Nothobranchius furzeri: one gene and its partner. The protein of the gene in region 1 purifies or fractionates together with the protein of each later gene. This does not show direct contact. Links are inferred from orthologs where the notes say so. Each region holds a gene or a part of one and is shown on either strand. Other genes may lie near its edges. The genes, in order: mos and fkbp5.

Region 1 (3,653 bases):
ATAATACTGACTAACAGACCCACTAGCTGACTGGTTCTGCCGCCGCGTTTGCTCCCAGTGGCAGGATCTGGGTGGAGGTCATAGGTGAGTGTGATCGCTGTAAGCTTTGGTCACGTTGGCGTTGTTTGTAAATCGCAGCACTTTTTGTAAATAGAACACCTCAGTTCCTCCAGTAGCCTCTGTTCTAAACCCTTACCACAAATGTATAGATGATATATTTAGCTATTGTAGAGAACAGTTATATGTAAATACTATATAAAGTGTTTTATTTTTACAGGTACCGTTTTGGCAGTGTTTTCTTATCAGAGTGTAATTTTTGCTTTACTTGCACAACAGTTCTGCTTTATCAAGAGTTTTTTTTTAACGAGAAAAAGCATCTAAACATTTATTTTTCTAGGTTGAATAAAACTATTGGTCCCCTGGAGTAAACCCACCCACTGGTGATCAACAGCGTTATATTTATTTAACGCTGTGGGTTTTGCTCACACATCTGACATTTTACACATTAGAACCTAATGAAACAAATGACATTTTCACTAACAGACGTTTCCTGAACATGTTCAGAACCGTAATGCTAACTGATTGTAGCTCTGGACTGAATCCAACCCTGTTCTGGTGATCCAGACCCGTTCTAGGCCTGTGAGCTTGAGCGGTACCGGTCAACCTTACTGAATGTGTTGGTTAGAAACACTGCATTAGGATTGGAAATGCTGCTACGTGAGTCTGGAGCTCTTTAAGGTGCTACAGACATTCCTGGTCTTTAAATGCAATGTTTGTACTTTGCTCCGGTTCTTTCTAATACATACTTACATCTGTTTGTATACATCCATATTTATATAGTTATATAAAGTCTTTTTATTGTACTGTGACTTTTGAAGTCCTTCTGCAGACGTGCCTGAAACGCCCCTCCCCAGACAGAAACCGCTTCAAAGCCTGTTGGTTTTTAAATCTCAACTTTTCTCTATACTTCACAAACTACTGTTGTATTTTTCTACGTATCGACGATATAAATCACAAACATGTGTAGAGGTTGTATAAAATGGATATTAAGCTGCAGCTGTTGTTTTGTTTGAAGTTCATCCAAAGAAACAGATTATTTATTGCTCTGCAGAATAACCTGATTTCACTCACACACCTCGCTGCTATGAGACTCCAGTGTTTTGATTCTGTCGTGAGACTCAATAAAGAGAGAAACATCTAACACACACTCTCTCCTGGTCTTCCTTCTTCACTAAACGTTTCGGTTCTGGATCAGAACCAACAGGACTGTGTGTGGGCTGGTGTTTTATGGATGTTTAATCTGATTGATGGTAATTCAATAGATGTTCTCCAGTAGAACCCTCCAGAATATCTCAGTTTCTTTGTTATTATTGTTGTAGGTGAAGAACTGAGCCTGGGTGTTTTCACCAGAGCTCGTGCAGGTCGGGCTCATGACCTTTGACATGCTTTTATGCATCAGTCTGATGATCAGAACAAGAACCTTTTAAAACTGGAATATTTGTGGTTCCTCTCAGTTCGGTTCTGACCGCGGTTCTAGACCCTCTTCGAGGACCTACAAGAGTTCCAACCATGATGCATTGCAGCATCCCGTCACGCACCGCGGCAACTCACCTGTGCACGTGGACGCACCTGTGTTCGCTCGCTCGGCATGCCTTCACCCATCCCAGTCACGCGCCTCCTACCCAAGGACCTGTACCCGTGCGTGGACATCGGAACCTGCAGCAGCCCGCTGGCCCAACCGGGACGTGGGTCCACCTTACAGGTCCCGGCTCAGCGGCCGCACGGCAGAGTCACCAGCCGGTTCTGGTCCACCGTGATCCACTGGGACCAGCTGCGCTCCGTGGTGCCGGTGGGTTCTGGTGGGTTCGGTTCCGTCTATAAGGCGGAGTACCTGGGAGAGACTGTGGCTCTAAAGAAGGTGAAGAAGAGCTCAAAGAACCAGCTGGCGTCTCGGCAAAGTTTCTGGGCCGAACTGAACGCTGCGCACCTGACCCACAAGAACATCGTGCGCGTCCTCGCGGCCACCACGTGCGTGCCCGCAGACTTTGAGGTGGAGGACAGCATCGGAACCATCCTGATGGAGTTCGTGGGCAGCCGGAACCTGCAGCAGATCATCTACGGAAGTTCGGAGCTGCTGGAGCCGAACCGCTCTCTGAAGTTCTCGGCGGACATCGCGGACGGGTTGCGGTTCCTGCACTCCCACGGTGTCGTGCACCTGGACATCAAACCGGCCAACGTGCTCGTGTCCCGGACGGAAGTGTGCAAGATAGCGGACTTCGGCTGTTCCCTGAAACTGGACCGGGATCCCGAACTCATCAGTCCTTATTTGAGCCACGTGTGTGGAACCTACACGCACCGAGCCCCGGAGCTGCTCCGAGGAGAACCGGTCTCCTCCAAAGTGGACATCTTCTCGTTCGGGATCACATTGTGGCAGCTGCTGACCCGCGAGCCGCCCTACACCGGAGACCGGCAGCACATCATGTACTCGGTGGTGGCGCACGGTCTGCGCCCGTCTGTCCAGAGCCACTCGGTGTTCAGGTCCGACTGGGGGCGGCTGTGCGCAACGCTGCTCGGACGCTGCTGGAGCGCAGACACGCGCCTCAGACCGAGCGCCTCTGAGCTGCTGGATCAGCTGGAACATCTGGGTCAGCAGCTGGGTCCACACAGCGGGTTTTAATGTCCAAACCACAGAACCCAGACTAGCACTGGCTCTCAGGTGAACTCTGAGTTTTCATTCTTGGCTTAATAAATGTTGTAAGATTTGTTTGATTTCATTAAAATCATTTTAAAGGTTTCGTGTTTGGTTTTAATTTGGTTCCAGGTTGCTGCTCGTGGTGGACTTGCTGGGTGCACGTGGGCTGTGGATACACCCCCACCCTATAGGTTTCTATTTAAATGCAAGAATGATTTTATGTGATTGTTTTATACATGTGAATAAAATGAAATACTCTAGAGAAAATAACTTCACAGCCTAATAAAAGCAGCCTTTAGTCTCTGGGTTCAGACCATGTCATATAAAACTTCAGCTGTCTGCTTCAGTCTTCCAAATTTTGGACTCAAGAGGTTAAAATGTGTTCATATCAAAAATCTCATGGGATTTTTTTCTTTAACCAAAATCAGCAATAAAACAGGTTTCTATGGGATGTTGATATATAGAGTAAAAAATCTAAAATGACACTGGCACCGCTGGCCCATAGACACATTTCATGTGACATCAGACTGAAAACTTGGTGCACGCTTTGGGGTCACACTGTATTCCAAGTGGTGTTGGAAACAAAACGCATGTAGTGTGTGAGTGACACTATATTGTCTTGATGTCTGTGCATTGGGACATGTTGGCAGCAGGGAGGGCCAGAGGGACACATTGTCCTCCTCTTTCCAGAACAAGAAATGTTAGTGTGTTTAACCTTTAACCCTCCTGCTGTCCTATTGGCTGACCCTTCCACGACAGAGGATGGTTAAGCAGGGTTGATGGTTTATCCCTTGGGGTTCCATGTGGCAGGAGTAAGGTGGTGCTCACTCCTCAAAACTATAACAAAAACACAAGTGGGGTCCATTGGACTCTGCTAGGAATGTGGCTGGGTTGAAAAACAGAAGAAAAAACATGACAACCACCACTGATCAGCTGCAACAGGATTAGTTAACAAACATCG
Region 2 (3,827 bases), on another chromosome or scaffold:
TGCAAAACCACAGCAGCAAGAGTGCTCAGCTCTGGGGATGAAGTTCGAAAGTTGTGGTGACATTTTAAAATGGATACAAACTTTTATCACAGTCCAGCAAATTTAGAGATAATTTGACATTTCAATACTTAGGAAGAAGTAGCTTAGCAACACCGCAGGCCCTGCTTCTTTTTGTCAAGGATATGCTCAAAAATACTGTTTATCTGATTTTGCATTAGTAAAAATAACAGATTCAGCAACAGTCAAATAAGCATCTTTTAAAATTTCATTTAAACTAAAAAATGCAAGAAAAAATAACGAAAGTAACTTGCAGGATTTTTGCTGTGTTCGTGCACACATTCTGTCGGGTTTCAGTGCATAAACGATGCACATCCAGTTTCACACTTCTCCAGCAGACATCATTATATCACAATTTTTTATTAACACGTCTCTCACTTTTTTATTATTTCCTCCTACATGTGTTGAATTCTGCACATATTTTGTTTTCTGCTTTAGCTTTATGATCTATAAAGAATTTTTGTTTTTCTAACAGATGGAGCTGCTTAACTTTGAAGGAGAGGTGCTGTCAGAGGATGGCGGCATCATCAGGAGAATAAAGGTCAAAGGTGACGGTTACAGTAACCCCAACGATGGAGCAAATGTCGATGGTAGTGACACAATTAGTTTGAAAGGCATAATTGTTTTGGTTTGATATAAAACATAAATCGGAGGTTAAATTGCATCTTGTTGTCCTGCAGTTCACGTGGAGGGACGATGTGGGGACCGGTTGTTTGACTGCCGAGACGTTAGCTTTACTGTTGGTCAAGGTGAAGATAAAGGCATTCCTTTGGGGGTGGACCGAGCTATGGACAAGATGCAAAAAGGAGAGTGCTGTTTACTTCAGTTAAAACCAAAGTAAGTTTCTTACAAATCCTTCAAAAATGCCATCTGTGTCATTTGCATGAGTCATTCTGAGGGGGCTTTCATTAACCACAGCTTGAATCTGTCATACAATAATAATAATTTTAGTTTGTTGTTTTCATCTCATGCCATTTACAAAGGATTTCAGCAGCTGTTTCTGCAAAATGAAAATGTTTTTTATAGCGACGTCACAAAGTTGTTTGCAGATTAATAATTGATATGTTTTTTTTTCTCATCGAAGTAACTAAATTTTGTGAAAAGAAACACTTTTGCATTTCCAATAAGGTTTAAGTACTGCAAAATAAAATTTAAGAATGCAACAAAATGCCTATTGGTAGGAAAGCATATAGTTTTTGATTTCTTCAATGGAAATCTGAAGCTTTCCTTAATGCTTCCCAGGGAGAGAGTATGTTTGATTGAAGAGTTCAGGAGTAACGAGAACACAGCTATTGTTCGGACTTCGAGATTTTTTTTTTTTGTGAAACTGCAACATTTTCCACTTAGTATTTACAGGTTAAATCTGAGGTAGAGGTGTTGTATAAGAACTGTGGATTCTTGTGCATCAGTAAAACAGGTTAAAGGACTCATCTCTGACTCATTTGCTAAAATGCCTGAAGTCCACCACTCTTCTAGCATGCAGCGTAACAGACGAAGCTCGTTATTTATGCTAGTTGTATTGATTAAACAAGTAATCGACTCCTTTAATGCTTAAGCATTATTGACATGCTTTTCTTTTTACAGGTATGGCTTTGGAAACGAAGGTAAACCGGAGTTCAAAATTGGACCAGACAAAGAAATTGCATATGAAGTTACTCTTAAAGACTTCACTAGGGTGAGTTTCCATTTTCTTTGATTGAACAAAGAAAACCTTTATTTACCAGATACAATACAAAACATATGCATGGTATTTTGGGTTCAAGTCTCATTTTAGACACATTTAAGCACATATCAAACCTACTACCTACAAACATCAAAACCCTAAATTAATGTTTGCTGTTTTATTTTAAAGGCTAAAGAGTCCTGGGAAATGGACTTGAGTGAAAAGCTGGAATTGACTGCTGCGGTGAAAAGCAAAGGGAATCAGTATGTTAAGGTAACGTATCTGTGATTGTGTTCAAATGAATCATTCTGCTTCTCATCTAAATAATCCTAACTTATTTTGAAAATCTATAATCAGGCAGGACGGTACCACCAGGCGGTCATCCAGTACCAGCGCATCATTTCCTGGCTGGAGTTGGAGTGTGGCTCTGGAATGGAGCAATACAAGAAGATCCAGGACTACGTTATGACGGCTCATCTTAATTTAGCGTTGTGTTTCCTTCGGCTAAAGGAGTTCTCACAAGTGGTGGACAACTGTAACAAGGTGAGCTGCGTGACCCTGATGATTAGATCACCACCTCCTGCAGCAGCTGAGTTCCTTCTCATACTGTGTGTTTGTGTGTTTAAGGTAATTGAACAGGATGCGAGCAATGAGAAGGCTCTGTATCGCCGTGGGGAGGCCCGGCTCCTCCGCAACGAGTACAACCTAGCCTTGTTGGACTTTCAAAGAGTGCTGGAAGTCAACCCGTCGAATCGAGCAGCTCGTGGTCAAATTTCCAAATGCCAGAACAAAATGAAGGAACATCAAGCCCAGGAGAAAATGATCTATGCTAACATGTTCCAGAAATTTGCAGAGCGTGACTCAAAGGTCTGTAAACACTCACTCAGACATATTTTTCCCTTCCCTTTGCTTTCCTTTGTTTAGTTACACTTTCCCACTAACGTTTAAAACCTTTTAAGTCTTAACTGACTCCTAACGTAATAGGAGCCAACACTGACTGAGTGTTGCCGTTGAAACTGATGTTTAAAAATTGTAATTCAAATAATTTTTCATAACTTATTTTTAAAACTGAACGAAACCAAACATTTAAAGAATCTTACTTGGATGGGCTCACACTCGGTCTGCTAATTTCAAATTTAAAGTTGTGGAACAGCGAAAACCATTTTTTAACGATTATTTCTGATTAGAATCGATCACTCTGAGTTTTTCATGCAGGCTTAACATGAAGATAGTCTCCTACACTAATCTTGTGCAGTAGCTTCTGATAGAAAATAGATGGTAAAACGTTAGGATTTGAAAAGCCTGACAGATCTACTTCACATTACATCAATTAGCATTCATGGACTCCGTCTTTGACTCACGACATGGAAGGCTGTTGTTGCTTTAGCATCCAGGAAATAGCAGAGAACGTCTCGGCTAGTTTAAGCTAACTTCAGCATTAGCAACTCCACCACACAGCAGAACTCCTACAGTCTTGTGCTATTTGTGGAGATAATAAATTAGCATTGCCCCCAATGAGAACGACTTACAAGGCATTCATTCCTACTAAAGACCACTACAAATGTATTGATTAAACGAGTGACCCACACCTTTAACTACTTTAAAAGAAGAAGCAGAAGAAAAAAAAGAAAGTTATGATTAGTCTATTAAATCATGCTTCCAGTTGAAATAACAATAATGATCTGAAATGTATAAATTCTGGCTGCACTATATGTATATATATATATATATATATATATATATATATATATATATATATATATATATATATATATATATACACACATATTTAATTGTTTTGATTTCAATCTGAATTTGTCCAGCCTTTCTGTGAATGCTTTGTTAAACATTATACTGCCCTCTAGTGGCAAGATTAAACATTTAAGTGAAAATGCAGCAATAAGAAATGTTATCAGAATATTTATGCTATTAAAGGTGTTTGAAACTAAAATTTTGGAAACATAAAACTTTAATTATTTTTGATTTTTTGTATTTGTTTATCTTATTCTCTGAAAAGAAGGGGAAGACGAAGAGGAGGAGCAGCATGAACGGTGAAATGTGCATTAAACGACGACGGAGGAGTCAGGACTGTGCTTCGTAACAGAAG

Evidence for each region.
Region 2: the proteins of mos (region 1) and fkbp5 purify together in Homo sapiens (affinity purification with mass spectrometry; 3 studies listed by BioGRID and IntAct, counting the BioPlex papers as one, with this or other methods). This does not show direct contact. The link is inferred for Nothobranchius furzeri from reciprocal best matches to the Homo sapiens genes MOS and FKBP5.

The regions. Positions count from the first base shown.
Region 1 is NC_091747.1:36,176,837-36,180,489, forward strand, and holds mos (proto-oncogene serine/threonine-protein kinase mos), read left to right. Parts: upstream 1-1,494; 5' UTR 1,495-1,648; coding exon 1,649-2,677; 3' UTR 2,678-2,716; intron 2,717-2,821; 3' UTR 2,822-2,998; downstream 2,999-3,653.
Region 2 is NC_091743.1:66,795,305-66,799,131, reverse strand, and holds part of fkbp5 (peptidyl-prolyl cis-trans isomerase FKBP5), read left to right. Parts: intron 1-532; coding exon 533-647; intron 648-737; coding exon 738-894; intron 895-1,641; coding exon 1,642-1,732; intron 1,733-1,909; coding exon 1,910-1,993; intron 1,994-2,077; coding exon 2,078-2,263; intron 2,264-2,347; coding exon 2,348-2,587; intron 2,588-3,737; coding exon 3,738-3,821; 3' UTR 3,822-3,827. UniProt on the Homo sapiens protein: Immunophilin protein with PPIase and co-chaperone activities. Component of unligated steroid receptors heterocomplexes through interaction with heat-shock protein 90 (HSP90).